2 linked regions of the Styela clava genome follow. The protein of the gene in region 1 interacts with the protein of each later gene in a pairwise test. Links are inferred from orthologs where the notes say so. Each region holds a gene or a part of one and is shown on either strand. Other genes may lie near its edges. The genes, in order: syntaxin-16-like and alpha-soluble NSF attachment protein-like.

Region 1 (17,124 bases):
TAATCAGAATTCAGAAGTGAAATAAGTGTTATTGGTCTGAACATCTGATGTAAATTTCATAGAGTTGAATTTTCAAAATTTAAACATATTTTTTTATTTTTTTCAATATTTTAGTATTAACAAACTTATTATTTCAAGAATATGACTGAATATTTCCATGAAAAATGGGATATTTCATTAAATATTGAATAACATACAAATGCCATTTAACTTTATAGAATAGAGTCTCCATTTGCTTGCAAAATATACAGTTTTCTAACATTCGGAATATGGAAATAATAATTTTACCAAATGTTGGTCATTAACATTAATTAAACGTAAACTCATTTGCATAGCAAAAGTTCCAAAATAAAAATGATAGTTTGTATTATAATACAAACTCATGAGGCATGTAATACTGTTTCAAACCAATACTTAACAAATTTTGTTTCAAATGAAATTTTTTGACATGATATGCTCTGTATACAAATACACAATAATTATTCTGATATTATTTTAACATGAATGAGAGTTCTAATACTACAATATAAAGTTTAATATCTGAAACACTATCATTTCAAAATTACCAAATTTCCTCAATCACAAACTTAGCATACACGGTATTCTCAAATTAGCTATTCGACTATTTCTAACCCATGCAACAACTACGACAACAAACAATGTCTGATATTGATTTCTGTCCTCTGTGCTAACAACAAACCAGTCTAAATTTCCACTGCTACTTACTCATCACTAAAATGGGACACACCACAAAGCACTTCTATCTATAAATCATCATTGATCTTTTATAATAGGAATGAAACAAATGTACCTCTTCAGATATTAGCACTCATACAAGAGCTGGTGTGAAGACTATTGAAAGTACTCAAACTGTGTTTAGTTCATATCAAGTACTAAGCGTCAGGTCACTGATTTTTGATATAGAAATTTAATGATATTATACACAACAAAAATGCTATCCGACCTTATATCTGTCAGGTCAGATCCCTTCTAAACAATCATGCAGAAGTAGGCTATGCGACAAAAATACGGACAAAATGACGAAGAAAATAAGGTTTTTATATTAGTGAAAGATATTAGAATAGAAATTACTCAAAATGTATTAAAACTTGTGCTGTGAGCATGTGATACAAAGCAATGGCATTTTTTATAGAACTGGAAACATATAAATAATAATAAAGACAAAAAATAATAAAATGCAAACTTTGACTTTATTGATTTGTTACAAATATATATGAGGAATAGAAACCTACCTTTGGTTGTAAGAAATGGATCAAATAATTCCAAATCTCTATGAGACAATTGTGATTTTGTTGTCTGATCTGACTGCAGCAAATCTAAAATGGTTATTGAATTAGTATGGCCTCACCAGTTGATCAAAATAGAGGGATTAAAAGCAACCGATTCTGCTGATTTCTAATATTGAAAAATCAATAGTATGGAATAATAGGAGAAATATAACAAGGGATTATTTATACATGCATGCAAATAAACATATCTTAGAAATTTCACTTCACTTCTGATAGTGTATGATTGTATCCGAACGTCTCAGTAATCTAAAAGGTTTGCACAAAAGTTATGTTCTCTGGTAGTTCCAAATGACCAGAATTTTATTTTTGTGGGTCACCCTCACCATGTATATAATACTTTCCATAATTTAAAATATCGAATACTTAATTAAAGTAAAACATTCATTGAAAATATGTATATACAGTTTTGAAAACACAAGTTAAGTGAAGAAAATTTTTTGTTCCATTTAAAATAACATTACTCTAGTTAGATGACCAAAGATGGCTAAATTATAACAAAAAATTGTTAAAAAAAAGCTGTGAATTATATTTGTTAGATATTATCATCTACCGCAATTCACATATAAAGTGATATCAGTATCAACTTTTATATTATAATAATATTATGTGATATATTATATATATTATAATGGCACATTATATCTAATGTATAAGTGGCCATATGCAGTGATTCCAAATAATTGTACATATTAAAGGCATAATAGAATAATATTGGACAATACCTATTGTCTGATACGATTTAAAAGTTTCCAGCCTAAGGAAAATATCAAAATAACCTATACTTGAAGCATAAGACTTAGCATTAGAATGTTACACTTGGGTTCAAATCCCGTGTCCCCCAGCTCATCCAATATGGTTGGCAATGCTGAATTGGAAAGCTACTGGACTCCGCACATATTACTAGATATTAGTGCCTCATTCAGAGCAAACGGCATAGAAAACTTCATATAAAAAATTGTTAGTTATGAATAATTGGCCATCACAAAATACCGAGCACATACTTCAACAATGTAATCACCAACCTTGCAATTACTTAACATAAGTCAATAGACTGATAGTACCTCCACAGTAAGATACCTTTAGGCACATATTATGCATCTTCAGGATGGCGAGGCTTTTAATATAAAATAGACAACAATAGGAAAAGCATAAAGCAATAAAATTGTCATCATACTGTCACTGTCATCCACTTCTTTCTTTTCTTTACTTGGTTTCAATGGAGATTGTTTGAGATAACGAATTTCAGAAGTTGAGTCGATGGGCTGAAGGTACTACAAAAAAAATGGTATTGTGTTTCATTTTTGAATACACAATTTGATAGGATTTTTTTATTTATCCCAGGGGAGAGGGAATCCAATAAGGCATCTTATTCATATGGCGAACCACTCGTCTGGTTACCAGTCCATGTCAAGTATGACAATCATCAACCAGTTGATTTAGATGCATGAACCTGATGATGGAGAAGGCAATAGCCACCCACTGGTTATATGAACCACCCTACAACAATAAAGAGTCCAGCAATCCGCTCGCACTTCATCATCAATTGATTCTAACTTAGTGCATAGATACCTGGAAAAACTCTTTAAAAGCAACTGATCTGCATAAAGGTGGATGCTGGGTTGCAAAATTCAACACATCCTCTGCACTTTTCTGTCTTTCTCGGACAACACTCTCTTCAAAGCGACCTGTAGTTCAAATGTGTACAAACTTAAAATCTGGATTGCAACAATTACAATTAGTATAATAATTATAAGAATCTCAGGGATGAGTGCAAGTGGTACAGTTACAGTGCTACAGTACAGTTTAACCTAGTGTTTCCCAATCAATGAGTACCGATAATTCTTTTGTTTTGTGATTTTACCAACAACTGCTTATTCAGCATTTTGTATACTTTTTTAAACTATGTCAAGCCGGAGTGGGAGCTGCGAGTAACACCTTCAAAAAACAAACAAATGAGGAAAGACCCATAGTGAGGGAGAACTAAAGAGACCCAAAATAGGCAAAGAGGATTGGATTTTGAAAAAAATCGTCTCTCAAATGAACTATATTTATAAATGAATGCTAAACTCACCAAACAACTTCGGTTTTGCAAACTCTGGTGGTTTTCCATTAAGAAAAAGTTTTTTGTGCAATAAAACGAGACATTTATACAGATCTTTGAAGTCGCTGTATCGTTTCCAAACAAAACTCTGAAAATTAGAAACAATTATTTCAATTTACATCACCAATGAAATTTCATTATATGACAAACTATGAAAAGGGGGCAATTTGCTCAAAATATATTTGCTAATAGAAACTTGACTTACTATTATAAAGAAACAATGCATTTGCAAACATCTATGCAAAAAGATCCTCAAATTATTTGTGTTGAAGTGTTTACTTTACTTTACCATTTTACTCGAGTTCAAATTCCATGCCCATCACCTCACCCAGGGTGTAACAAATTGGGTAGAAAATGCCAACCCCCGAATCATTCTGGTTCTTCCTAACAGAAGTAGCTTCTTTTAAAGGGACTTATTTGGACTGAAGGGCATATGAATATGTCGTGTAAAAATCCCAAGTCTAAAAGCTGTTTTTTTAAAAAACGATTAAATGTATTCAACCTAATTCTGACATCTCCACTTTTGATAGCAAAACCATAGTTAGAGCACCTTTAAGTTAAAACTATTTCTATAGAAGAATTTCTCATCACGAATTGCTTTCAACACTTTGCAGTCCAACACTAAAACTCACACCTGGTGCCCAGATAGCACAACATAACGATGGAAAAAATGCATAAAGAAAACATACACACCTCTTTAAAACAGTCGAACGAAGTAGGATCAGGCACCTGCAAAATTAAATCTATATAAATCTCTGAAGCACAGGACATTGTCGCTGTTTACAATTTGACATAAAAAGATAGGTCAGTCACAGGATACTATAGTTTAACAATTACACCAGTTTTCTATTCAGTGACAATACAAAGCTCACATAAACATGAAGTTTGATAAAGGATTTGCGATGGGTCACCAGTTCAACAAAATTAATTCAAACATTGGTTTCCTATTGGTAAATGGGAAAAGTATAACATGAAGGCGATGTAATGCCTATACACAAAGCATTCAAAAACTTTTGTGATCAAAATTTTTGAAACTGTTCTAAGTAAGATTGAGATTAGATTGTTGTAAGAGAATTTGCAATGATCTTCTCGCTATATGCAATTTGTGTTTTTGCTATTTCTATCGTGTGCATATATGACAGAGTCACAAGGTTTTTGTTCAACGAGTTAGTATTGAAGTAAACAAATATAGCATGATCTTTATCAGAAAAAATCAAGTACAGGTACCCAAAAACAGAACCTTGAAACTCCTGTTTATTTATGTCTGTGCTGAAGAGTTTCAATAATCCAGGACACTTTGCACAAGAGTTATGTTGTCTCTAGAATATGTCCCAAATGACAGAAGTATTGTTGTTTTGGGGGCCAATTTATGCGTTTACGATCAATAAACCATATATTTTCGAACATAATTTACCAAATAGTGAATACTCATCGCCTACAATTCTTGAACAGGCTTTATGCTATTTTTGTTCATTGAAATCTTACCCTACGAATGACTTTATAAACTGTGAAACCGTCTGGATGATGTCGAGCTTCTTTCACAAAATATTGTGGTATCACCTCCTTCTTTCTCTTATCAGAATAAATCCCACCACGACTTGCCATTCGCCACTGCTACAGGTGTCTTCCACACATATTGCTGCCCGTTATTTTATAATCCCAATCCTACAGATTCATGTCATTATATTTACTAAAACCACTGACAATGAGTCTAAATGATGAAAATACACATATAAAATAACTTTGTGCCCAAAATATGGGAAAACGAAGGACAGAAAATAAGAATTACACGATGGAAAATATCCTCATACCCAATTTTTCAAGTTGGCAAAAAGAAAAAAAGACAAATATCAAGACTCATTTTTCGACAGATCTTATACATTTTCTATGCATACAAATGGGACTTGGGACTTCAGTCAGTTTTCAGAATCCAAGCTACTATAGTACTATTCCACCTTGTAATTTTCATGTTCTATTCATCTCTTTTGGTATTTACCAATACCCATATTCAATGGCTTCAAATATATAACACATGGCATAACACTCATTGTTTGGACGAGTATGCAATTTCTCATTTTGTTGTAGTTGAATTATGTCTGACCTTGGTCCGACAAAACGTTACAAAAAATATATTTACTGTATGTTAGTGTGCAGCGACCAGCAAAGCTCTTGAATTACTTAGGAACCATTAAAAATTTAATTTTTCAAGTATAAAAATAAGACACGACACAAACATGAAGTAGAACTAAAGCAATGTAAATTATACCTATTGACTAGCAGGTCAGAGTTAAACAATAAATTAGTAACCTTGAAGCAAAAATAATTTTAAACTAAAGCCCATTTTGCCCACCAAAGATGAGTGAACTAATAAGCATTATACTAATGACACAAATAAATCAAAACTTCAGTGCAATTCTGACTCTGTTCCCAGTGGGAATCATTGAAGCAGGACTGACCAGAATTTTCTCAACCTGAAGTAAAAGTACAAATTCTGCTGTTTTCAAATTTTCTATTCTAGGGTTAGGTTGAGGTGAAGTCATAATGAAGTTAAATAGACCTCCTCAAGACATCACGGCTCTACAACTTTAAATTAATATAACACAACTGATAAAGTGGGTAAAATTAGCAAGAAATATAGTTATTTAAAAAATAAATGTACAATAATATTTAGAACTAAGTTGTAAATTTTACTGGAATTCCTGGCACATAAAAAAAACTAGCAGTGCATTAACAATGTTAATATAAAACAAAAAACTATAGTCAGGTCATACAGTGTTATTTAGCCAGACGTTTGATCGGTTGATGAAATTCCGCGTATTATCATGGTAAATAAGATTTCTTGCCATTTTAGGTTTCTGCTTTCTGATCCAATGATCCATATCCACCGAATAAAATGTATAGAATATGCCAAACTGGAATGATTTTAGTACATACAAACGCGATAGACCCTTGTCTCTAGGTGGATCTGCATAAGTGAATATAAAACCATAGAAAGTCTGTATAATCATTATAAACAGCTCTATTTCCGTACAGAAAATCATAACATCAGTACATAACCCATGGTGGCAGTTTCATGTTTATTCTTGATATTATGTTACCACTTGTTCATGATTATTTAGGTTCAGAGCAATGCACGATTTGAAGAATTTCCTGGCCCTGAAATTCACTTTTTACTATGTTTTAAAAGCACAGCAGCTGACATGCTATCAGCCAGTAGTGATACAGACCAAATAAGCATGTGCAAATACAAACAATATGGGAGACACGCTACAATCTGAATCTGTAGAGTCATTTGAAAAAATGAAAAGGACATCACATTTTTATGTGATTTTTAAGAATTCCGCTCCAAACAAGGCTCCACATAAGCAGAGGCTGATTTACACTTCAGTAATGCTTACCCGATTTATTTCAACCAGGGTGAAGTGAAGCCGAGTTAAATCATTTTATAATTACAAAATAGTATTCAGATTTTAGGATCAGTGGGCAAATGAAATTTGATGAAAATGAGTGATAAAAGACCAACACCATGGATGAATAATACCAGCATTTAATATGGTATGATAAGTACTACCTTATGATACATCAAGTGCAGAGTTAGAATAACTCACACACACACACATCTATCAAAGTCATTGCACATTTGCTTACATCACACAACTAGTTAACTAAATAGTAGAATACATCACATATTTAAAATAGATATGAATAAAAAATCAACCCTTTTTTATAATTAAGATAATTAGCATTATTGCCGTTATAATTGATAGTACAAAGATAACATAAAGTTTTTTGTTTTTCTTTTGGTATTTCTCCGCTTTTTGTAATTGTTTTACTCCTTCGTCCGTTTTCATAACAGAGTTTTCAACATTATAATCAATTCTGTCAAGAACAGTTCCTTGCTCCACTACAATGTTACTCAAATCTCTAAATATTTCCGCCAAATCTGAGATACTTTGAACGACCTTTTGAATTTCTTCTTCACGTTCTTCAATGATACGACTATTCGTTTCAACAAGAGCAGATTGCGTTGTAGAAAACCCTCGTTCAAATGTTTCATCATCGATATCCATTTCACTGTGTTCGACCATAATCGCATTATCAGAGTCAAAAAAATGTCTCGACCTATCTTCTCTTGCTTTCAACTTTTTCAAATAAGAAGATTGACTGTGTCGAAAATCATTTGATACATTTTGTAATGAAGAAGCCATAGCCGAAACAACATTTTTTGACATCAATTTCTCATGCTTGGAAGCTTTTTTTGAAAGGTTAGACAGAATTTTAACGCTCTGATTGCAGCTGTAAAATAAATGTGTTATTTCTTGAGTCAAGATTTCAATAGTTTGTTCTTCTTCAACATCATCATCTAACGTTGGACGATTAAGATGTTTGTGATGGTGAGCTGATAATTCTTCCATTTTTAATTTGATTTGGCTGATTCCTTCTTTGATTTCTTCGACTGTCGATAACCATCTTGGTGGAAGACTTTTCAACTGCATTGAATTTTGTCCTTTTCGATTAGATATCAAAGAGACTTCGTCATTTTCATCTGCATCGTACTCAACATCTTGTCGTTGCCAAAACATATGACGATTTTGTAGCGCATTATTGCGCATGAGTATAAATGCGTCAGTGAGAGATCTCGTCAACATTATGATATGTAGACTACTAGGCTATATTACGGTAATTAATATAAAAATATGATAAATTAAGAGTAAAAATCGTTCAGACTGTTTGATGCTTTCACCTATTCGCTCTTAAGTTAGCTGATGGTGTTTTTTATTTCATATTTTTGTAAGAAAAGCACTGTTATGATACACATACCACAGTCATGCATTCCATCCTATCAATTCTAGAAACGTCCTTTTAATCGTATTTTATTTAGTTACACTTTACAGCATAGCGTTTGACTGGAGGTTATCATTTCATATATCATTTTCATCAAAAACAGCCATACAAGAATGCAATCAGCAAGCCCTCAAGTCTATGCATGCCACTTTCTCACATACATCTGTACATAGTTCATTTTCTCGTGATTTACATTTGTTATGTGATAAAATTTCACTGAACAATCAATATCTTCTGTAATCACCACATAAGAACCGCAGCCACAATTTTTTTTGTTAATTTTTTAATTCTAGTTTGTATAAAGTGTTTCCATGATCTTCTTTTGATCAGTGTCTCACATTTTAAAATTGATTCAAAAGGTACCGTATTGCCCGATTTTGCATGTGTCTTTATTTTATTGTGTTCTTTTGACTGTTTTTGGTGGACGGGCACGTAGACTACTTGTACGCTTTTAACTTTTTTATTAAGTTATACCCGTCCTCCAGGTCCTCTGCATTTTGTTTGTCCGTTTGTTGTAGTTTTGTTTCTTTCAGAGTGACCAAAATAAGATTGATTGATATTAACATTCATACTTCTGTATTTAGTGTCGAGAAATTGAAATAAGCATATGAACATTTTACGTTGTGTAAATAAAAATACTCAGCATTGAAAATAAACAACAGAAATCATTTATTAAAAGCCAACTTAAAATCGTCCCCATCAGACTGCTTCTGGCCTGTCGTACAACCGTACTGCATACTCTTGTTACCAATACCGGTACCACAACAACCTAACTTAAAAATCATAATAAAACAAATTCCGAAATACCTTCACAAGTCAAATAGAAAATATCGTCAAGTCAGCTGCTTGCACTTAACAGGTCACAAGCGTAGATGAACGGCGACGATTACCCAGGCAGTGGCAGGAGTCTGAAAGCAGCTACATCTCCCACATCGCGCAATGAATAGGCACACATAGAAATTGGCTAGTTTGGGTGAGCGAGCAAAACGTCCATATACAGAGCACATAATGTTATAGTAATATCAACGACTAACATACCGAGTAATTTATATACAAAATAGGTTATTACAGTGTTAAGTTTAGGAGCGACACACGCCCACTCACCCACCAGCTAAATTTTAGTGTGTTTAGTGTTTATCTTTTGAATAGGGATCATTATTTTATCCTGGCGGAGAAGGATATCCCGCGAGACGGCTTAATCAGGGACATTATGTAATGGCTCTGGCTTAATCATAAGGCGTACCACGGTCTCTCGCCCGGTTACCAGTCAACGTTGACCAGTTGTTTACAAATGCGCGGACTCATTTTATGCAAAGTGGATCGTTTAATGAGCAAAAGCTCTCTGTAGTTGCATGCCGCGTGATTTTTCATATTACATACATTGTTAGACCAGGGGTTCTCAAACTTTTGGTGTTACGGAGCCCCTGAAGAGGATGACTATTATTCACGGAGCCCCACAATAAATTTTAAAATTGTTACTTACCAATTAGGCAATTAATATTCCTTAGTTGGTTAAAATTATTTTACTCAATTTCAATGACTAACCTTTTAATAGGGTTAATACCAGCCATGAATAAATCTAAATTTCACAGATAAATTATATATATTAAGGCTGTAAATTTGACACTGAACAAACATATTAATAAATTCGGGGTCGAACCTCCCTTCTGATATTTTTGAAGACTGAAAAATCGCTAATAACGTGCGCGATTGCATCTTGATAAAATCGCCGATTATTTTCGTCGGTTTGATATGTTTTTTAGTCCGTAAACATTTGCACGTCGGTGTTTATTCTCCTTCAATCACAAATTTTCATCGGCATATGCATAAATTGTTCCACGAGGAAGACGATAATTGCTTTTTGTTCTGGTGTGGAATTATGAGTTCAGTGCGGTATCTAGTCGTTGGTTCAGTGTGAAAAACAAGTTAGTATATTATATATCATCGGCGACGATATGCTAAGAATAATTAATAAAGGGGTGTATACGCAACCCAAATTTCTTGAATGAAAAGCGGCATTATAAAATATTAAAACTAAAACTTAAAACAGATAACACCATAAGTTTTGTTTTAGCGGACTCGTGACAAATGGACATTTTTCCGACCTTTGACACCGGAAAAATTCTTCCTATACTTTACCATTGCAGAATTTTCGGGGCTAACTTAAGAGTGCTTTTGCGAGTTGGCGACTGTAAAATGAGGTATGTGTTTCAAATTATCATTATGATTCATCGCATACAACAATCTGTTTTTTTAAAAGTACCGGTAAATTTTTTTAGCCTAGTCTATCATAGCTATTTCTACAGGTGACCGACCATACATTTGAACCCACGTACATTTGAACCCATGTGTATATCCACGGGTTTAATCTATATGTGGGTGCTAAAACCCATGGGTTAGGGTTAGTATGGGTTCAACTATCCGAAAAACAAAAAAAATTTCATAGGTGCAATAGCATACAGGTGCAATTGTCATGGGTTCAAATGTACGTGGGTTCAAATGCAATGGAACCATTTCTACACTAATTTTTGGTGACCGTACATTTGAACCCACGTACATTTGAACCCATGCGTATATCCACGGGTTCAACCTATATGCCGGTGCTAAAACCCATGGGTTAGGGTAGTATGGGTTTAACTATTCGTGAAACAAAAAAAATTTCATTGGTGCAATAGCATACAGGTGCAATTGTCATGGGTTCAAATGTACGTGGGTTCAAATGTAATGGAACCCTAATTTTTTATTACTGCAATTAAAGTAAAACCCCTAAGAAGACAGATTGAATTACCTGATTTATATTTGAGCTTCCGAAACACAACTGAAAACTAACGAATAGAGTTCAAGAACGCGAAAACGAGGTAATGTTTACGACCACGCTTGAAAATCTGTCAGAGTGAGAAATGTGTCTGAGCGGATGCGAAAAGGGAGCATTGTTACGTCACTTTTTGCATCTTCCAGATTGGCCAATGTCACGAAGTAAACAAGGAAGTCGATGCTCGGGGAAAGGTCTATTGAAAAAGCTTTTTAAGACAATGTTAATAACAAAATTTGGTGTTATTTTAGGTTTTCTTTGGAAATTATACGGTATTAACAGAAATCGAAACATAGTTAATTGGGCACCGACTTAGCCGCATGCGACTTTTTCTCGATATGTGACGATATATAAGATAATTAATGTAAAGTATTTCAATCAATTTTTTATTGCAATAAAATAAATTTTAATCATCCGTATTTTGTGATTTTTCAAACGGTGATATATATCTTTGAAAGAATCTGAGTGACAGACATGCGATAGGGAGTCAGCGTTATAGGAACGACTCAAATTTGTCGAGTTCGCTAAATTGCTGTAATCTGCCATACAATCAGTCATGATTATGCTTTACATTACTTCTAATATCTTACGACAACAGCGTCATCCAGGTTATGCGGCAACTTTGATTCTCATTCCATGTCCGCGGATGCCGCGGTGATTCTGAGCAGTGATGATTTTATGTTGTCGTAAGTCGACGCAATCGCAGGTTACATTGAACACAATTAAGCCAAAAAACACGGCATTTTAAACATGCCCCCATCGGTCAGGGATTGCGCAATTGTGAGTTGTACTCATGGAGGTTTTAACGCCGACCTTGAGATTTTATCTTGCTTAAAAATAATCTTCAGTGCTGAAAGATCAAATCCAATTTGACGAATCCCAAGATCGTAAAAATACGATTTCCATCTATTTATAATTGGTACTTGGCAGTTGAGAACGTTTTTTATGTTATTTTAGAATAGTAATCTTTCATTTTATTAGTAATCGTAATATAGACGTAAAAACGAGTAGCGATGAACACAATTAAATTATCGTGCTCGCGTCGGCTATAGATTGAATATTTTACGCAACAGAAAACTCGTTATCTGCTGAAAAAGTCTTTTTTAACGAGTGGCCTAATCGCGAAGAATGTTGCGCGAGAATTTCCGATTCCAATTTTGAACACCCACCACCTCTCTTTTAAAATCCTGGCTCGCTCCTGCTTGTAGATAATGTCATATTTGAATTACCGCTTTGCGATATTTCGACGCTACTGTTGTCACATTTTATTAATGCCGTTATTGCGTCTTTGGACAGTAGCCCGCGGAGCATTAGGTTTCTCTCACGGAGCCCTGGGGCTTCGTACGGAGCACTTTGAGAGCTTTGTACGACCTCACTTGAAAAACGTTTTGTTTAGTTTTATTGCTTTATCTGACAGATTTCTTATACACAGCATTGGTCAGGAGCCTCGGTGACCGAACCGGTCTTGTTTACTGACCCTCAAAACTTCAATGTTTTATAGCGTCGACATTATTTTTTTTTTTTTTTTTATTAATAAAAACATCACTTTTTATCCACACGATATAACACATAAACACAATTGCTCTTTAAAAAAATGAGTTCATGATAACTTTCCACTTCCTAATGTGGTTCGACAGTTTACATTTTCTAGTTGCAATCATTTTTTCACAGTAAAAATTGATCAAATTGAGGCCTCTCATTACGTAGTTTACATTTATAGATATAATATCTTGCACTCAATAAAACACAGTTTATACCTTGGTTTTGCTCTACCCCCATTAAAATTTCTCTATATGTCAGATTAGGATTTAAACCATATTCAACAGTTAGCCATGCATTAACTATTTCCCATAATTGTTGCACAAATTCACAGAAATAAAATAAATGTAACACGGTTTCAACACTCCTTTCACAAAATGTACATTTCGGACTTGATGTCTTATTTATCCTAAATAATAGGTCATTTGTAGGTACTGCTCGCAAAGCAAATTTAACATGGAAAGATCGAAGTCTCGATTCAATAGTGCAATAATTGACATTATTTGCGAAATTAAATCTTTCTTGCGAATTTCATTGCGTTACTTGTAATCAATGAACGAGAAATTAGTACGGTAATGTTCTATATTAATCTATTTCCATAGTTTTTGCATGATATACTTTGGCGCTTAAGGAGTCCAAAATCTTCAGTGATCTACCTAGTTTCTTTTTACTGCAAATATAATCCGGTCTTCTGCTCATCCCAGGATACCATATAATTTTATTATTTTAATTTACATTGGAAAATCCATGACATGGTAAAATGTGGTGCATACCATATATGTACACACCCTTTAAACTTGACCATTCCCGCGTTTTATAGTATGTGGTATCATAACTCAATGGTGTTGTACATTCATCCAAATTCTTAATTTTTTTTTATTACTATATTCATATGCAGTGTGTTTCATGTTGTGTTGTGTCTCTATTTATAGATGTTGTTTTGTCTAACAAACTCCTTTGTACAAACAGTTTTGTACACTCCACACCCACCCACCCTCCTTGCACAACTGCCTGTATAAAGGACCATATTGTACATATTTGATTTACCCTATTATAATTTATATATATCAAAAGGGGTGTATGCCGCACATTTGTGTTTTAGGCCAATATGGTCTTGTGCATACATCCGGTCTTCAGTATTTATAATTACTTACTCTTTTATATTGCTTTTACGAGACGAATAAACATACATACATACATGCTCTTTTCGGATTTTAAATGTATCCCATTGCAACCAGGGAAACATTCACACTACGCTCAATGCTGCTTGTTAAATAATGACGATGTTGCTATTTGTAAAATTGTACTGCATACCCAATGACCCAAATTAACATCATCATTGTCCCTTGTCTTGCATTGCTAAATAAACCATGAAATTATTAAGCGTTGGCTAAGAACGTGCAAGATGACATTTCATTTAAGACTTCTTGAATCACCTGTGGTGGTTCACCTCATTTGGATTTCCATCCTCTGTGCGTGTAACTAACAAATAAACTCTCTCTCTCTCTCTATTATATTGATTTTATACTATGGCGGAGTCAGCTATTGATAATGACTAATGACCATCTATTTGAGAAATGCTTTTAATGAGAAAGTGTTAGTGGGTTATCGTCCTTATCGAAGAAAGAAATTCTATATAACAGATGCATATTATTTTACAACAATTTACTAACTAACAAAATTTCTTAAATCAAAGCACCAAATCAAATTTGTGTCAATGTTTCCCAACATGTGTTTGAATGCAAAAATACAAAGAGACTATCAAAAGAGGCTTGGATTCGATATGGCCCATAAAAAGTGAAAAAAAAGAAGTAAAATAAATATGTGAATGTGAAAATGATAACCACCCCTTGGAAATAACACAAAAGTTGAGATAACTCCCAATATCAACAAAAATGCCTAATTTGTGAGGCTGAAATAAAGAAAAAACAGAATAGCAATGATCATAAACAATAAACTTTTTAGGGCGTGATTTACCTAATAAAACTTTTTAAAACCGAAAATATAAGACGACTAGACGTTTTTCATCAAAATTTAGGATTTCGAAGAATAATCATCAAAACGTTCACAGAGTCTATGATGACTCAACAGCGTTAATTTCATTGTGTTAACAGACTTTTGGAAATCAGAATCTTTACTTATAAGAAAATTGTTGTCATTAACAAGCTGCAATGTAGCTGCAAATAGTCTACAAATGTACCATGAATTTGGCGATTCAATAGCATCTTCAAATAATTTAGTATCTTGTGGCTTTTCAAATTTTTTCAGCATCATTCCTCCATACTTATGGATGTCAAATTCCGGTCTTGAATTTTGTTCTGCAAGACGTGGAGTAATAGATTCATCCCATAACTTTACTCTTTGTGACAACGCAGTTTCTTCTTTGAAACGCCTAGCAGCAGAATAGAACATTTCAACATGGTGGCGAACGAGGTCTTCATAAGAAGTGGGACTGCTTACAGTTTCATGTGCAGTATGATTCCCCTTGCCTTGATTATCTACCACATCACCAATAAGGTCATCTAGGTCAGGTGAAAAATGATCCGAATGTATTGTCGAGTCATGATTCATTGGTTCAAGTTGTTCTTCTTCGCCAAACACCGCATCAGGGCCTACATCTTTTCCAGGCATTCCAAGTGAATGGTCAACATCACTTGTCATAGCTAATAGTTTTATATTTTTCCAAAGTAAAGCTCTTTCTTTAGTTTCTGCAGCTATGAATTTCTCAAGACATTTGTCATGATACTTAATGTCTCTCCTTTTCTTGTAACCTTTGTTCATTATGAAAAGTGATATTTCTTCAACTTTATCCACAGTCGGGCTGTTAATCTTTCTTTTTCTAGTGGTTTTAGATTGGCGAATAGAAGCTGGAATACAATGGGACCTGATTTTTTCATATTTTTTGACCGCAAAGCAAGGTATTCTACAATGCTCATGTGGATCAAGGATGGTGGGAAAAACTGGGGTTTCATGTATGGGTACAGGCTTGGCAAGAAACCTTTCTCTTAACTGCATTCTTTCTATAACAGTTTTTTCTTGTTCTAAATTTTCAACGAATGGAGGAGCATCATCCATGTCATCAGCAGCAGCTCCTGCATCCATGGACTCGTCCATTCCACCAAAATTATCCATTTCTTCTCGGACAGAATTTGTCTCCACAGGTTCTTCAGACCGAGAAAAAATGTTCATCGGAGCAATTTCTAATTCTTCTAATGATGGAACAATAATTTCATCCAAAAACCCACCTGAATCTCTATCAAGAACACTCATTCTTTTTTCAAATGGGATAAATCGATTCTCCCAAAAATCATTTGTGTAACAAACGGAGTCATTCTTGTTTTCAGACAATATCAATCTTCCTCTTTCATCATTATCATTTTCAAGCATTGCTGTAGGGGTTATAGGAATAGGTGTAATTGGGTCATAATTCGAAGTGAATTCTCTTTTCGAAGTTATTGCAACATCATTCAGATTTAGCAATTTTTCTTCATCATCGTCAAAATTGGGATCAATAGTTTTATCACTAGAAGAATTGTTGGGATTTTCATCGGGAACCTCTTTCTGTCTGTTTGTGATCATTTCTAGCGTCTGTTTTACAAGAACATATAAGTATTCAACTTTTTTACTCCATACACAGGCTGTACCTTGAATGAGCAAGGATGCTTCCGCAAAATTAAGCACAGTTTTTCCATTGTCAAATTCAAAAGTCATTTTTTCTAATTCTTCCATATATTCTTCCAAAACATGTGTTAAATCTATTTCCCAATTCTTAGTAATATCCTTTATTGGCTGTAGCAAGAAGCCATACTTTTTCTGAAGATCTTCTGATAACACCATATTTACGTTTAGGTTCCTCTAATTATCTTATGAGGAAACAATGATTGCAACTTGATTAAACAGAAATATACCATGATAAAAAAATACAGTGAAAAAGAACCATCACTCAGCTGTGATTAGTAAAGGTTGCAGAAATTGCTGAATTACACTCATAAGACTCATTACAGCATTAGGGAAAGAATTTTATTTAACACCCGTCACTAGGCATTTTTCACATATCAGAATTTCAAAATACATTCTTTCCTTACTTTTCCATGAATTGTCAGATTGTATACATAAAAGGACAATATATCTGTATATAGTCTTTTACTGTGATGTACAATTATAGAAAATTGTAGTACAGTAGTAAAGCCCTTAATGCAGCAAAAAGTAAATCTAAAGTCCAACTTTTTTGTTTTGCTCAAGTTAGTAAGTGCTGAAGAGTGTAAAGCAACACCTGACAGTCTGAACGTATCATGGATTCAGAAGCAGAAAGAAGGGAACAGAAAAAAAGCAAGTTAGGTTACCGTATGCAATACCCGTAGGTCCTATGATTACGAAATGTATTGTACCGTACCGGGCACCATCTTTGTCAAACGACGTCTAGTTGTCTGGACGTGTACCGTAGTGCTGTAGTGTGTATCACAAACCAGCAAACTGATATATTCAAATATAGTAAGCCTTTCTTTAGCTTGGACACG
Region 2 (17,158 bases), on another chromosome or scaffold:
AAGCAATGCGTGTCATAAGATCAATAAGCGAAATTTTTGTTCCTGCAACTACCACAAAGCCCCTGTTAAATAAAGGTGCAACCCACAGTTTCACCCGGTTCTTTGCATTTAGGTTGCACACCCCTGTTCCATATCGATCTAGCTAACTGATATTATATTAGAAAATGTGATGTGAGCAGTTGCACTTGCGTATTGCATCTCCAATATAGAGCAATTTCTGTTTCCATTACACAAAGTTGGACACTTCAGGTTATTCGATACAAATTGCATTAAAAAGATTATCTTACCAGCATTGCAATTCGTGATATTCTTCCTGCGTCAACATTTCATAAAGGTTGGGAATGCTGTTTGAGTGTTAACTCCTAAACCTACGATTTGATGTTATTCGGAATTTTCGTTATTGGGTATAACAATTCCTAAACATTTAACTGTTAATCTCCTGGCCCTATTTGTTCCACAATCAATAAAATGTACCCAATTGAATAAAAATGACTTTTACTGAAATAATTAATTTCAGGAAACAGATCATAATATGATATGTAGAAATATGAATTCTCTTTCAAGATGGGTGGTTGGGAACAGATGACTGAGTAATCCATGTTTACCAGAGGAGTTGTCCACTCTTTGGAATCCTGTGTTTCCATGCTAATTTTCTTAACATTTATCATGGAAAATCGTTACCTGTCCGGCTGCCTAATAATATGACGACCTATGACCACTGGATGTGAATATATTGCAATAGCGAAATGCAGTAAAAAGAACCATCGTTGCTTCGACTAACAGTATGCCACTGGCCCTACTATCAAAAAGAGTGCTTTTATAGGCCTTGGTTAATGGAAAGGGAAAATAAAACCAACATATGTTATATTATAAACCCACCAGTACCTAAAATGGCTCAAATCAACCTGCAATATAAAAGAACAGATTTTGTAAATCAATACCATAACAAATAAAAATATATTGATCACAAACTTTGAGACCACCACCAATCACTAATCCACTTATATATATTGATTACATTTGGCCAGCAACTTTGAAAACAGATTAGATAATAAAAACAACAAGCCACTGGAATGTTTTTGATAGTTTTTATTGAATGCAAATCACATAAAATGAGACTTAAATCTAGAATGTTATAATATCACACACAGATGACCACCATGTTTCTATATTAGAATATAAGAGGACGCAGTAAAGTATGTACGAATTCCAACCTGCGTCATCTAAAGGGTTATCAAGGACACCGGGAACCACGGAAGTACACAAAAGTCCCAGTTTCATCTACTCATTCTGGGGGTAATATTGCACTTTATGCTGTATGTATTCTAACAACAGTCTCTAAAATATCAAACGTACTCCCAAGGGTCTAACCTGCGAACATTAGCATTGAACAAAGTCGCTGCAAAGAATTAGACAAATACGGTCGAAGGTCTCCAATATTGCTATATAGTATATACTATATAAATGAACAGAAGAACTATATCTTTATGCCCAAAATAGACAGACAACATGTCACCATATTAACACTATAGACTTAGTGGATAAACATTCATTCATGGCAAATTTACAACATTGCCTAGGACTGTATGTATCATCCTTTTTATGAAGATATGGATATCACATAGTCTACCGAGTTGAATTAAACTGTGTGAATTGTTTACCATTAAGGTGAAAAATTATTAAGCTTCTTACAACAATTCAGAGTCGCAATTGGATTTTCTTTACACATTATGTACGTTCATGCCCGGGGTGTTGAAATGGATAAAATCACTGCTTTGATAAAGTAAATAAAATCAATTACTTTTTAGATGTAAATAAGACAATAAGCAGGCTATGATCAGAAAAAAATAGCCATAGTCGAATTTGTATTATATATGATAGAAAAAATTCATGACTTTTTGTCCATTGTTCCCTTATTTTCGAGCAATCTAACAGTCAGATTATAATCAGGTTTTTCTCACTTAGTTTACACTGATATAACAATTTAAATCATTTTTTATAGGATTTATTACTGTGATTTTTATTAATAAAAACTGTATGAAATATGTATGAAGTTCATAATGAATGGCCATTTTCAAATATTTATGATTAAATATTTTCTAGGCGTAAGAGTAATCTTAAATTAATGTGAAGCCCTTCTTTGAGGAAAAATCATTAGGGCAAGGTTCCGGTGATCGTAATAAATTTTTATCCTGATGAGTAAAATAGTCTACAACAACTGATGAAGAAATCTTTATGCTTGGTAGCTCATTATAGAAGTGAAATTTTCGGGCCCTGAATTATTTAGCAAGAAACCCTCTTAGTTAGAATATTTTACAATGATATATTATTAATGAGAAAGATTCTTGTTTTGACTGTAAACTTGTTATAATATTATTATTTATATATAATAGACTAAGTATTAACAAATACTTGTACCAGAATTCATCTCAAATACTGTTTAAAGTCAAACAAAGCTATGTAAGATCTTCATCATCATTCCCTATTGTCTTTTTGATTCGTAGAAGGATTGTGGTCAGCCACTGGTCAATGCGAGATATCGAATCATATTTTGCAACTGCTTCCGCAAATGCATCAGAATTTTGGTTGTCATGTGTCTCGATTAAACTCTTCAACAATTGGCATTCTCTACTGTCAGAAAATGCTGGAAAGAGACCTTCGTATTTCTCCAATGATTGCCTTTAAGAAGAAATTATAAAATTAATAAGCCTCACAGAACAAAATAGTAATTAACATAAATAAAAACTAAAATGGTGCGGACTATGTAGTTAGGCCTACCGATAGTGACGCATGTAATTTACCCTAAACCACGAACCCTTGTTTCAAGGCAAGGCAGGCAATTTAAATTGGAACCTCATGAATAAAATAGATGAATCTAATTAGATTGCAACGAAACAGGGATTACATTTCTGATAGTTTGCTTCCAATATTTAGCAATTTTCTCCCTAACACTAATTTAGGTTGCTGAGAATAGTCTATTGCCTTTTGGACATTTAGTATCATCTTTATCACAATTATAATAAGTGGGTAATGCTAAAATCTCATATACATAGACACGAAGATCGTGAATCAGTGGAGGAAGGACTGAGAGCACTGTATTTGCCGAAAACATGGGTAGAACTGTAGAAGAACGATATGAAGGTGGACTAGTAATACAGAACAAAATGTCTTCTTTTCAGATAAAATATCAAGCCTCATAAAACCTGTGAGAAAATTTGAAAAAAAAGAATTGAAGTAATAGCTTTCTTTCGACTACTTCCATCTATAACTATTAAAAACTTGAACTGAATTTGAATCAAATTGTAAAAATGGTGTAAATTTATAGTCTTTGCAAATGCATTAGATCTGATCATTATTCTAAATTTTTTTTCTGTCAAAACAACTTTTACCCACATTACCTGATAGCAGTTGAAGCCAAGACAAGAAAAATTAGGAATATTACAGTAATCAGAGGCATGAGTTACACACATTTATATATTTATGCTGATATTATGAAATCTCATACTATATCACCAAATACATAGATACAGTAGTAAAGTAGAATTACAGATTGAAATTGATTGATCCATTAGCTGGAGTCCTGGAGAGAAAAGAATTTTTTCCCCACAAGTCCACTTCCATGGTTAATAAACCAGTATGTGAAAGTCTCAACACTTTGATGATAGCAAAATATACTTTTCTGTTCTGTTGTTGCTCGAGACTTATCTTCTGGTAAACCCTCACAAGGAATTTCATTCTTCATTCACAATATTTTTTAAAAGACCCAGTTGAATAAATACTTTGTAAAATGATTCATATTCAAGGATACCCAGGTGATTTGAAGTATGCATCCCACACTAAATTATTTATAGTCAGCTGACTTTTTCAGCTTTCACAGTTCTCTGACTCACAATAACAATTGTCAGGAAATGAGTGATTATCTCATAATCATAATTGACGTAAATATGATTAACAAAAAAACAATGGTCTGATTATTTAAGATTGAAAGTTGAAACTTTTATTCCCTGATAATGAGTTGATAACGCTGTTACTTTTATATCTGATATTTAGTACGAAAATATCACCATTTCATATGATTAAGCTTTATCTATTTCCTTTGAATAAAATTAATAAAATATGGCTGATTTTGAACATCAAATTCCAACATCTGCTGCACCATAGTACAAACCACTTTATACAAGTCAACATTATAGAAACAGACGATAAGGTAGTCACCTACTTCACTGATACCCGATTTGTAAATGGCCAGACACGCTTAATAAATTATGAACTGTCATCGTGGGGATTTGGAACGGTATGGAATGAGTCCGTAGTCAAGGTAGTGTCACCTTTGGCACTGCTGTAATGCCCCAGCCCCCAACTTAATAGTTTTAATCTCGATTGTAAATACGACGTCTAGAATTCTCAGTGCTTTCATTCAACTGTGAATAATCATGAATATGGTGATTTTTCTCTATAAATAAAATTTTTGATAATCCTACCTAAAGGCATTCAGTAAGTTGGATAAGGCAATTTAACAGATTTTTCGGAGACTGAATCCGTACAGATCATCCCGACTCAGGTGCTTGTGAGTGAGTTCATATTTCCTCAAAGTTAATGAGATTTAGACTCAATTTATTAAGTCAATAAATCAATAGTAACATGTAAATCACTTACATTGCATCGATTGTTCCACCCAAACAAAAATGGCAGAGTGCTGATTTGAAGAAGTACTCTTTCACCGAATATTTTAACAACGGACTATTCATTGATGACATTCCAACACGCTCATATAATTCTATGGCTTTTGTATATTGCTCAAGCTGAGCTGCATAGGCCGCCACCTTCAACCAGCACTTATTTGCACTACTCGTCGAATCTTCGCCCTTATAAAAATCTGCAGCCTATACAAACAGAAATTTTGGTTAATATTGTGGTGGAAGTACTATACAGTGAGCAGGCCTGCCCAACCTAAAAGAAAACATTTTATGCTGCCTGCAAGGTTGTTTGAAAATACTTTCTTGAATCTTCAAAAATGTATATGATCAGTGGTGTACAATGTTAAGTTAATTCTAGATCAATTCTAATAAATGCTCAGATTACAAATTCGAATAACATCCAACTTCCCACTTTATTTGAACTCACAATTTACTTTCACACCTGGCATATAATGTTGGTGCTATCATTTTTATTACCCCATCAAATCAAATCTGTAACCTAATACAAGCCATATCGGAACCCATTAGTCGAAATCTCTATGTCAATGGCTTTAAATTATACATGAAGTTTTAAAAAACACATTTACCAGTCATATCAATATTATACAGCCTCCAATTTTCACATGTTATTTATTATCAGTGATAGTTTTTGTGAATAACATTGTGCTGTATTCTGAAATAACATCAAACGAATTGTAAAATCAGAATGGTCATTTTACACAACAAAATAATAAAATGTATAAGAAGAATATGTGAAAAAATAGACCTACTCGCTCATAATGAGAAATGGCTTCTTCAAGTTTTGAAGTCTCGTTTTCATAAATTTCCGCAACGGATATATGATGTTTTGCAGCAACTGTAAATCTCCCCATATCAGTATAAATATCAATAGCCTGTATTAAACATTATTTTTATGTTTTCATAAAATCATTTGTATATTTATTTTATGTGGCGATAGTCAATTTGTAAATAAAAGTTAGAATAGAAACATTATACACAAATTTATGCATAGTTTTGCATGAATGCAAGACATTGGCTATCATAGTTTAATTAATTATATTTCGATTTATTAACCGTAATAAGGAATGGAAATGGCCGAGCCAATGCACAAACCTTCTATAATTACTGGAGGCAATGGAAATGAGCAAAATTATAAATTCCCATTCTTCAAAATTCAAACTATTCGTATCCTATTACCTGTTACTAGAATAACAGGATCTTTGATCAAATCAAATTTCTTTGCAAAAAAACTAGATAACACAAATCATTTTTTTGTGATTCTAATGCGAAAATAAAGTTTTTACTAAACTAACCAAAAACGTACAATCCTACTAAGCAATAATATGTTCATCTCACCCTTGTCAAACATTTGATAGCCGCATCTGCATCTGATTTTTTATAACAATTCCCAGCATCAACAAAATTGGAAGCCGACTCGTGTTTATTCTGTAGTGATTGTTGAATATCTGCAGACTTACAGAATGCATTTCCTGCTTCGTTCCATTTTTTCAACATCTGGAGCAAAGAACAAACGAAAAATTATATATAACGACGATAACCTATGATCTGAAATTACTATACGGTAAAAAGTCATTAATGCATGAAATGCATATTCAAATTGAATTTATAGATTTATAAGATATGTTATAATTTTATGCTACATTGGAAAGACTACAGTTTTATCGGCAAATTAAGAAAATTGAGCTGAGCTGAGATGCACGTACCCAATAACATAAGATACACAAATTTTGATATTACTTATAGTATTTTCTGATGCTATTTCGGTATGCGATCTCAGCATCAAATAACTACTTTGGTATGTGATCTCACTAGCCACACATGATCTCAATCGAATATTAAAGTGGGATCAATTGTGGTGACACTTTCGTATGCGTTCAACGAATTTCATAATTTTTCATTGAGTTCAATTCCTGAACCTAACCATGTCACCGTTAATTTAGGGTCAGATAATAACATAATACTAAATTACTGAGATCGCATATAAAGTGACACCTATTTTCTGCTGTGTATTATTTGGAAATAGTTTGTGACAGGATGAAGATCTCCAAGATATCAGGTATACTGAAAGTGGATCGAAGATCAAAAAAAATTACTGCATGTTTCAAAGTATTCTCCTTAAAGCAACAGATTAAATTGATCAATTTAATTCTTGTATTATTATGATGAGTAAAATTCCACATAGAAATCACACACACAGATTTGTTTTCACAAGCAGTATCAAGTCAAAACTAAACATGCATTGTGAAACCATGTGAGGCTATAGAAGCTATCTATAAATACTGCACCAATAGGACACCAAACATGATTGAAAGGTATGAAGGAGGGACATCAACCAATATTGTCAAAACCTTCCTGAGCTGCCGTCATGCCAGATGGCCTCGTTTCATAGACAAATCAAGTAAAAGTTTTATTGAACAAAATGTCAAGATATCTTGGAATCGGAGAACTGTGGCATACGGTACTGCATACTGTTACAAAAATTATTGACTTTAAAAACTAATATCAGAATAATGATAGTAGAAGAAATGATGTACAGTAGCCTACAAGCTGAGATGTAAAGATATCATACAAATTCACCTTAAACATATTTGCTGCCCGAACAAATTTTTCACATGCTTCTTCTTGTTTAGATCCAGATCCTAGTAATTTAGAGAAAAATCCCTTTGATGAGTTGAGGCTTTTCTCAGCCTCAGCCATCAACTGGCAGGCCTCTTGTTCTTTATCCATAGTTCGATATTAATGTTTGTAACAAATCTAACTTATACTATCAGACTATAATACAGATATACAAATATAATGTTACGAACTTACAGTACCAGTAATCAGCTTGATGATATCTTTTGAGGAATATTTTTCTATCCACATTATATAACTCTTGTTGACTAATTCCATCAAGTGCAGTTTTAAGTATTCTGTGGCGTCTGCAGCTGCCGCAAAACCAAGGCGGTATTTCCAGACCATGTACCCTATATTTTTCTTTTTTACTGAGTAGGCTAATTGGATTTTATTTTCTCGCTTTTTTTACTCCCGATCTTATCATGTTTCAGTCTTGATGATTGTATGTCAGTGTGTGCGTGCCTTAATTAGTTTTAATACTTTTGGGTACCGGTAAGCGAACACCAGACTAGGTACCATACTAAAGTACCGTACTTATTTTATCGATAACTTCCCACCTACAGAACTAGGCTAAAATCTGTACGCTTTAAACCTTACTTGAGGTTTCGTTTGCTTTCCCGATTCTATAATCAGTTTTATTTATTTTGTTTTTATCAATTATTTTAATTGTCTATTGCTGATTATGGAGTCGAAATAAACTTATAACCGTATACGTTACTGTTATACTTATACACCACAGTATCAGTATACACGGACTACGGTAGACTACCCCTGTAGTATACAGAGATACCGGTACCTGTAACGTTACGGTATATATCGTAATTCTGTAACTGTTCATTTTATTTATCAGGTAAGTTACCGGTACCGGTAGTTCTGTAGTTGAACAAGCTATTTCAATATACAAAGTTCTGTTCTGAATCTGAATTATAGAATAAAAAGAATTATAGAAATTCGGAACTGAAAGAACCGCAGCTCTGAAATAAATACTGCAGGTTTATTTTGATCGAGCTCGTCCTTTTTATAATGATGACTGAGTCACTTTTGGTCCCTCTAGTGTTACTTATTTCGAGCACTCCTAACGCTGCCATGACACTATAGATCAGTGTTCTCCAACCTTTTTTTTCGTGGTATACCTTTTACAATTTTACGAGAACTTTGTATACCTTACAATTACCAATGTTTATTTAAAGCTAAAATGAGCAATAAATGTTAGGAACAGATTGTATAAAAACTAAAATCGAAGTGGCGGGGCGAGTCATTATAAATGCTTCTTTTAGTTTTTACTGACAGACGCAATTAATTTAGTGTAGTTTCAGTGGCTTCTTTGTTCTTGCATAGTTTCGGCAATTCGTTCATAACCATGGTATTTATCGTTGAAACGTCCTCAAACTCCCACCCAGACTCTTTCAAATATTGACTTAACAGGGGAAAGTCAATGAAGTTTCTCGAAGAAGCATTATTTTTCCAGAGTTGAATTTTCATCTTCAGAGCATTGATTTTGCTAGTCGATCGAAATATATCACCTCCCTTCCCTTGAAGACTGACGTTCACTTGATTCAAACGATCAAAAATCGACGCCATGTACGCTAATTTTGCAATCCAATATATATTACGAAACCTGTTGGCTTTTTGGTCTCCTCGTTCAGTGTAATACGCCCCTAATTGTTCTCGAAGTTCAAACACACGAGAAAGAACTTTTCCTCGGGACAGCCACCGTACTTCTGAATGTAAAAGAAGTTTTTTGGAAGTGGCGGCTGTTTCCTCGCATAGTTTCGAGAAAAGTCTCGTTTGTTTTGAACTTTTCTTGATCGTATTCACAAAATATACGACCTCCCGTAGAACATCGTGTAATTCATTTTCTTTACCGGCGCGGCGGTGTGGCTCAACGGGCTAAGCGTTAGGAATACGCTCGCCACCGCACCTCTAATTACTCTGCGTGGGTTCGCAGGTTCGAATCCCATGCAGGGATGGTTATGTGCGAGAGGATTGCTGGACTCCTCGCCGTCGTTGGGTGGTTCACGTAACCGCTGGTCGGTTACGGCTTCCTCCACCACCAAGTCCATGCTTCCGAAAACAAACAATACAGTAAAAACTAATCCCATACCCGACTTGGAATGGTAACCGGACGAGAGGCCGTGGTTCGCCATATGGATAAGCCGTCTTATCGGCTTTCCTCTCCCCCGGGATAAATATGTAAATCCTATCCTACCACTAGCGTCACCTGCATTCAGTTCAAGTTTCTTTGTTACTAATGCCTCGCGGTGGAGAATACAATGAATTCCTATGCATTCTGGAGACTTTCGCTTAATTCTCTCGATCAAACCTTTCTGTGAGCCTCGCATAGCTGCTGCTCCATCTGTTGTAACCGATTTGCACTTTGACCAATCTAACCCTTCTTCTTCAAAGAACTCGTTTATTTTATTGAAAATTGCTTCAGCAGTTGCCTTTTCTTCAACTGGTTGACAAAATAGATAATGTTCAACTATCCTGTTAGATTTTATGTCCGGAAATCTACAGAACACCATGAGCTGAGACTCACTGCTTATATCAGTGCTTTCATCCAACTGAATGCCAAAGGAGGAGGCTTCTAGTAACTTCTGAATTAGTTGTTCTTTTAAATCTGCGGATATAACGGCACATCGTCGCCATACAGTAGTGTCAGAAACAGCAATTTTTTTGACCTTGTCAACTGCTTTTGTTCCACCATGAATCAAGTCAGCCACAATTTCTAAACAAGGTAGCACTACACGTTCAAGTTCTGTGTACGGGCGTTTAACTTTCATCATGTGATGTTATCGCCATCTTGGTGCACATACTTCTTTCAGGAGGTCCCTATTTTCATGAGACCATATATATGCGCTACCGAAATGCTAAGGCCGTACGATACTCATGCTAACGTTGTACGATACTCATGCTAAAGCGCCAGCTACCGAAATGAAAAGTATTGTCTTCAGTTACAAGCAGAATCTCACACCAGGCAGGTAAGCACACTCTAAATATAGCTACGGGCCGTCGACTGAAAAAATCTCAACTTCAGAGTGAAAAATAAGAATGAGAATTAGATTGTGCCAAAACGGAAGAACAGCAATTACATGCTTAAAACGAATTAAAGACAATCACTACAAACTTACTCTCCTGACCATGCAAATTTTTCTGAAGACCTCATTCTCTCCTTGTCTGATTTCAAAAATGAAAACAATTCACTACAGTGCATATCTTTGAAATTATATTGGGGAGTCAACATGCCTTTTATAGTCGCAAATTGTTTCTCTCTTTAGTCCACTGACTTTGCATCAGTGAAAAGACTCTCTCTACAATATTGGCATTGTGGGATGTAATAGCAAAGGAAAACTGTTCAATCCTTAAAATTTCGGAGTGGCATGTGATGTTCGTAGACTGATCGAAATATTTGCACCATTTCTCATGCGTTGGCAGTTTAATAAATTCTTCGTCTTGTAGGTAACTTTCCACAAACTGCTTCAAGTTACAGAATTGGTCAAATCATTTATCATCGTCCACATCAACCCGTTTACTAATCAGATTTTCCAGGCAAGGCTTTACATCAGGGGTCGGCAACCTTTTGTCGCTCGCGGGCCAAAACCAAAGGTTGCAAGTCATTGGCGGGCCTCATATTTTTAGAATGTTGAAAACCGAACGGATAGCCGATGAATCACACTTTTTCACACAGATTAGAAGTTAAATTTAGAGCAGTGCACGAAGACTGACCATTGGAATATTTTCTGCACCATTAAACCATTTGCGCTAAGCATCAACTTTTCTGCGTTTTGTTGCCATTTGAGTAATTATAATTAAATTATAGGGTCATTAAACGTGCAATTGTGAATTATATACTTGTTAGGTTATAGCATAAATGATTGTTAGATGAATATGATATTACCGTATATTGCTATTTCGTAGATTGTCTCTGACTTGCAAGTTACCCGTTCACCCTTCAGCTTCAACGCCCACGTGAATGAAGGAAACTTTAGAAAACTCTGTTTGATTTTATTCTCAGATTTCCACGATACACAGAATATAAATCTTATAACATTTATCCACACTAGCTTTGAATGGTTTACAATTTACATCGTCTTCCCTCTTTTCCATCTCCTTATCGAAAGATATCGGAGTCATATTTATACGTTGATCATAAATCCAATTAAATGCTGTAAACGTGAGCTCGTGATTCACGTTATAAACAGAAATTCCTATTATCTCAACAAGGGTAATTATGTACATCGTACGGATGGGAACTTAGATATAATTATTTCAATCAGTGCCAAAGGTCTTGAGAATATAGATTTTAATTTGATAATGACTGGGTGGAACTTGTTATGTTCTTAAACCTGGTGTAATTTGATTCCTACGAAAGTCTTTGTTCGAATTTTGAGAGAAATTAACTTTGTTTTCATATTTTTAACATGAAATGGGGTACATTTGGGGGTAAGTTGCTATAAGGTTATAACATAATTTAGCCTACGCGTGTCGCAAAATTAATTCTGTTATGTAAAGAATATAATCGTTAAAACAGCTGTTTTGTTACTATAATCCAGTGAAGCGTCGCGGGCCGGATTATATTGCTCCGCGGACCGGATCCGGCCTGCGGGCCGTAGGTTGCCAACCCCTGCTTTACATCCTTCCAACTTGGTATCTCGTTCAAGGTTATCCATTTGAAATAAGTAAACTCTTCCATTGGTTTTATCCATTTGCACAAGTACTAAAAGCATTTGCAAAGTTTGCAACTTTAACACCATTGATAAGGAAAACGCTCTGTTATATTACAATTTCATACAACCTCGTAGTAAAAATATGCGCACGGTACGAAATAACAATGTTCTGTATTAGCGGTGTGCACATTACGATTGCAGATGCAGTAAAATTCCGGACATTTGAGCATTTTTTTAAATTCCTCCCGGACGCAAAATTTAACCCTAAATTCCGGACATGTCCGGAATTTTCCGGACGGTATGGCAACCCTATTGTATACCCTACTTATGGTCTGGTATACACTTAGGTATACAGTATACCCGGTTGAAGAGCACTGCTATAGATGACACATGGTTTCTCTGTTAGTCCCAACGACTGACATACCGGTTAGTCCTTGGCATTGAGTTGTATATACACCTCAGTGGCCCTTAGTCGTTGGTTAGGGCAACCCCGTGCAACTCCGGAAATTTGGTCCCGATGTTGGATTCGCCGCCACGCACGACTTGGTTCTGACAGATTATTGCTTCGAAAATCATCGAGCGACTAGGCCGCGAGCCGAGGACATTTATCTTTCAGTTTCGTAGCGCACATCAGGTAACTACCTGAAAATGATTTTAAAATGTTCCTTAGAAATTTAGTAACAAATATTGCCTTGTTCCCACTTACAAAAGTTGCACGTTTTACAGAAAAGACGCTTTTACTACAATAAATATGTGTTACCATCTGTCCTATTTTCTCTGCTTTTCCGGTATCATGGGCCAATGAACGCAGACTTCTGCACGACGTAACAGTCAAGTTAGTCAGCTGTAGGTGGATCCCCAGTGGTCGGATGAATATCAGATGTACTCAACTGCTCGCTTTTGCGTTGAGTAGCCTTTCCATAGTTTTTTTCAGTTACCGGTAATATTAGTCCAGTTATTCTAAGGAGGTGTTGAAAAGTATAGGTAAGATATTAAACACTTGTATATCCTTGCCATAAATAGCAATTTTAGTTGAGCACTAGCTCATAAGACGTTGTTAAATAGGTACCGGTACGGTGCGGTAACTCCAAGGAAGGCTAGACCTAGAATAATATGTCACAAACAACGATATTTTCTGGCTTGCATGAAATGTTTATGATTAATTTAATGACTCTTCTTGACTATTCAGCAGACTTATACTACTATATAGGCCACAGCATATTTGGAAATAGAAATGAATGGCTGTTTCTGTAATGCACGGTTGTGTGAAAGAGAAGAAATTAATCAATTTTACTAATGTCGGTTAGTCTAAATCTAAATTCATAGAGTCGACAAGAACCTGGGAAGCAATCATAAGTTATGCCGGAGTGGAAAGAAAGGTACGGTAGCATTGGAAATGATTGAGAGGTGAGAAATGAAGTTGTAGACAAACAGTTGATGTTTCAAAATATAGTCTATAGCCTAGTCCATACTCATACTGCTGTACTGTCATGGGACATTTCAGACTGTGATATATCAAAATTTAGTGTAGATATAGTCTAGTAATGGTATGCAAACACTGCTGGACTGTAGAACATGCAATGAGCATATATACGCTCATTTAGTACATCAGATAAAATGCATTACGGTATGTATTCAAGGTATTAGTTAGTATTTAGGGGTATTTTTAAAATCATGCTGCTCCAAATATTATTTTCTTCCTTATTTTAGATACTGTACTACAAAAGAAAACGGCAATGTTCCACCAATCCGACCTAACGCAGGCTCTGATCCCCGCTGCTATCAGTGCTATAAAATGGATTAAACAAGAAGTCTTGAAGCTTAAAGGTATATGAGAATCATAATAGTTGCCAACAGCTTAGATGGGCTATTCATATTGAAATACTTTAGCACTTTTCTGCAATTGGAACTGCCCATCAAATTCATGTTGGAGACTTCATTGAGATTTTCAATTCTTTTTTTTCCCTCGACTATGAAGATCTTTTGAGGTTAACGAGGTATTAATAAATAAAGCTGAGGAATTTGAAGAGGATATGAAGAATGTAAATGATACCAGGGCACGTCTATTTAACACTGTCAAACATAAGGATTATACTCTCCACCCAACAATGATTCACTGAAGAAGCATGTGGCCCTCAAATCAGTTCTTGAGTTGTCAAACTGCAAAGAAAAATAGTCAAAATAATTTATGAAAGTGTGCCAAAATCAACTTAAATTGCACAGATTTTTGTTTTTGTATTGACTGCAGAAATCACAGTACACCTATAGAGGAAAAGTCGATTTTTGAGATAGTGGATTTCGAAAACAATTCAGAAGAAAGTGAATTAGATATTACAGTTGATTTAATAAGTATCATACATTTGTTTTTTTTTCGGACATTTGTTAGTGTCGTAGTCCTGTTTCTAGAAATATTATTGCCTTTGTTCAAATACATAACCACATAAACTAAAAAAAGATTAATTGTAAATTGTAATATTTCTGTTCACTATGTTATGTACATATTGTACATTCATTTAATTTTCTTGACTTTTGCGGTAAATTTCTAAGTGAGAAATAACTGATTTATTTGTGTTTTCGTGCTCACGATGTTAATTTGTGACTTCATTGCTTAAAAATAAATACGTTTGATACTTGATAGCTTCTATAAAATGGATGTAGCTTTTTATGCTGTTCTTGTTGTAAACTGCTTGTGGTTATTACATAAAATTTATTCTAAAATGTGAATCAGCGTTGTTGGTGTCGCTGCTTTCGAGGTCACTCCCGACTCCTGTCACACAATTAAAGTATTTTTTGTTGTTGGTTACATGTATGCCATATTTTTCGTAATCTACCTAATAAATTATGATTGACTGAGGAAGTCCGATTTTGGTCAGGCAAAACATTACAGGAATACATTTGTGTTAGTGTGCTGTAGTGCTCTCGAATTGTATAGTTCTTATGAATGCGTTGTAAACTTATGGTTATTGAATTTCCGGGAACCTCTTATATTCAATTTCGCACCAGGATTGTGGAACAAGCTGTAATGCGTTCATTATGTTCGTTTTCACACAAAACTGAAGAATTTATTTAGTTACCAGATGTGCGCTACGAAACTCATTTTCTGGGCGTTTTCATGGTTTCGTCTCACGGCCCATATCCGTGGTAAGGATCTACAAGTGTTTAATAATTTACTTATACATTTTTCAACAACGTCTTAGCATAACTTAACTAATAATAACTAAACAGGGCTATGGAAAGCCTGCCCAACTCAGCGCAAGGTCGAGCAGAAATAACTGATATTCATCCGCTCGCTAACAGCTGGTTTAATTCAATTGTTACGTCATGCAGAAGTCATTGTTCAGTGCCGAAAATGTAGAGAATATAGGACAGATCGTAGCACATATTTCTTGTAGTAAAAGCGTCTTTTCCGTAAAACGTGCAACTTTTGGAAGTGGGAACAAGGCAATATTTGTTACTGAATTTTTAAGGAACATTTTAAAATCATTTTCAGGTAGTTACCTGATGTGCGCTACGAAACTCACTTTCTAGGCGTTTTTCAGGGCCTCGGCTCGCGGCCTAGACGTTTTTCATTTTTTTGTGTTCTGACGGTGCTGTCTCGCGTCAAGATCAAGGGAGTGACTTATAAATATTCAAGTTTATTTTGCATATGGTATATTACACAATATACTTGACTATAGAACAGATAGAATGCAGATTACGAAACAAAATAGAGGAACAATCAATTGAGTGTGGAGGCCCTGGGACCTGAGGACTGGTCCAGCACTCGAAAGCACATTGACAGTAAGATTCTAAATTCCCTTTAAAGCTTGTTCATCATAAAAAAAGAGCAAGTTGTAAATGTTCTTATAGGTACCCAATACAGTAATGATTTGTCAAGAAATGTAAATTTTGATAAAAGATATCCTATGTATATTTTCAGGAAGAAAAGGATCATAAAAAAATTGCAGTATGAGAATTCATGCTGTGTGATCAAAGCGGTAAGCAAGAATATAGATTGACTAATGGTGATGCTTTATCTTAAAAATCAGAATTAGTTTACACCATATCAATGGAAGTTTTTGGTGGGGCAACTAAAACTGTCAGCAAAAAAAATGTGGTGAGCGATGTCTGTATGGAAAACATAAATTAAACACACATAATTTAACTTCAATTAATTAGTGTTTTATGATGGAGTACTACTGATCTTGATAATTCTTTCCCAGACTCATTCTGTCATTGTATACGAAGTCACCAGCTGCATATTACAACATAAGAGGTATTTTACTCTTGCCATGATAATCCATTTTGCTTGATTTCAGGCTGGTACTAATAACTTTTTTACATAAATTGGATACCTATTATTGGTATTATCTGAACATGGCTTCAACATATATATTTATAACTTTAAATGTGCCAAAATATTTTGAATTATTTTAACGAGTCGAGTGTTTTTAAATTATTGATTAGTGATTGATAGCAATAACTTTTTTGCTACTGCAAAATCCACCACATTTATTGAACGCAATAATATTTCTCCCGAAATCGTTACATTTTATTAATTCCAATAATTTGTTTTGTGGAGTATTCACATTTTTGTTTCAAATAATACTTTGTGCAAGTGGCTGTTATACTTATATATAAACACATACATGCTTAGATGGAGTACGAGGCAATTTATTTCAAAATACCGTAACTAAAACATAAATTTTTGCAGACGGCTCGAAACTCGCTTTTGAAGAATGATTTGCTGTCACCAGATGGGTTTTTGGCATGGAAACACATCTAGAGGGAAATTATGAAGATAATGTCTGTCAAATATTAAGCACAGGTATAGCACAAAGAATTGTTTTGGATATTAATTCATTTGTATTTTCTTGTTAGATCTATCTCCTATTGAGCATTTAAATACTTGGATCGTGATTAATATTTCTAAAATTACCAACAGTATTCAGGTCAATAATACCAGATGAAGCGGGGAAATTTTTCTTTGTAGGTTTTCCCTGCATCTGTTGCTAGGATTTCGGAAATATCTGAATTTGAAGTAACTGCCAAGTTTTGCAAACTGCAGAATACCTCATTTGACATATGCAACAGCACTACTGACGTGGCTTCCATCAAAAACTGAAATCTACTCCCTCTGAAACATCTGGAAACGAAAGCCTGCAGTGGATCAGCCAA

The links.
Region 2: the proteins of syntaxin-16-like (region 1) and alpha-soluble NSF attachment protein-like interact in a two-hybrid assay, tested with the Drosophila melanogaster proteins (2 studies listed by BioGRID). The link is inferred for Styela clava from reciprocal best matches to the Drosophila melanogaster genes Syx16 and alphaSnap.

The regions. Positions count from the first base shown.
Region 1 is NC_135251.1:18,712,666-18,729,789, forward strand, and holds syntaxin-16-like, read right to left. Parts: upstream 8,131-17,124; 5' UTR 8,061-8,130; coding exon 7,125-8,060; 3' UTR 5,122-7,124; downstream 1-5,121. Other genes in the region: ribosomal protein S6 kinase delta-1-like, read right to left, coding at 1,254-1,337, 2,485-2,581, 2,880-2,995, 3,382-3,499, 4,105-4,140, 4,897-5,016; condensin-2 complex subunit H2-like, read right to left, coding at 14,642-16,444.
Region 2 is NC_135261.1:11,682,578-11,699,735, reverse strand, and holds alpha-soluble NSF attachment protein-like, read right to left. Parts: upstream 7,491-17,158; 5' UTR 7,446-7,490; coding exon 7,296-7,445; intron 6,213-7,295; coding exon 6,054-6,212; intron 5,591-6,053; coding exon 5,468-5,590; intron 4,884-5,467; coding exon 4,657-4,883; intron 2,680-4,656; coding exon 2,457-2,679; 3' UTR 1,075-2,456; downstream 1-1,074. Other genes in the region: zinc finger BED domain-containing protein 5-like, read right to left, coding at 8,631-9,055, 9,544-10,117. UniProt on the Drosophila melanogaster protein: Required for vesicular transport between the endoplasmic reticulum and the Golgi apparatus. Also between the endosome and phagosome.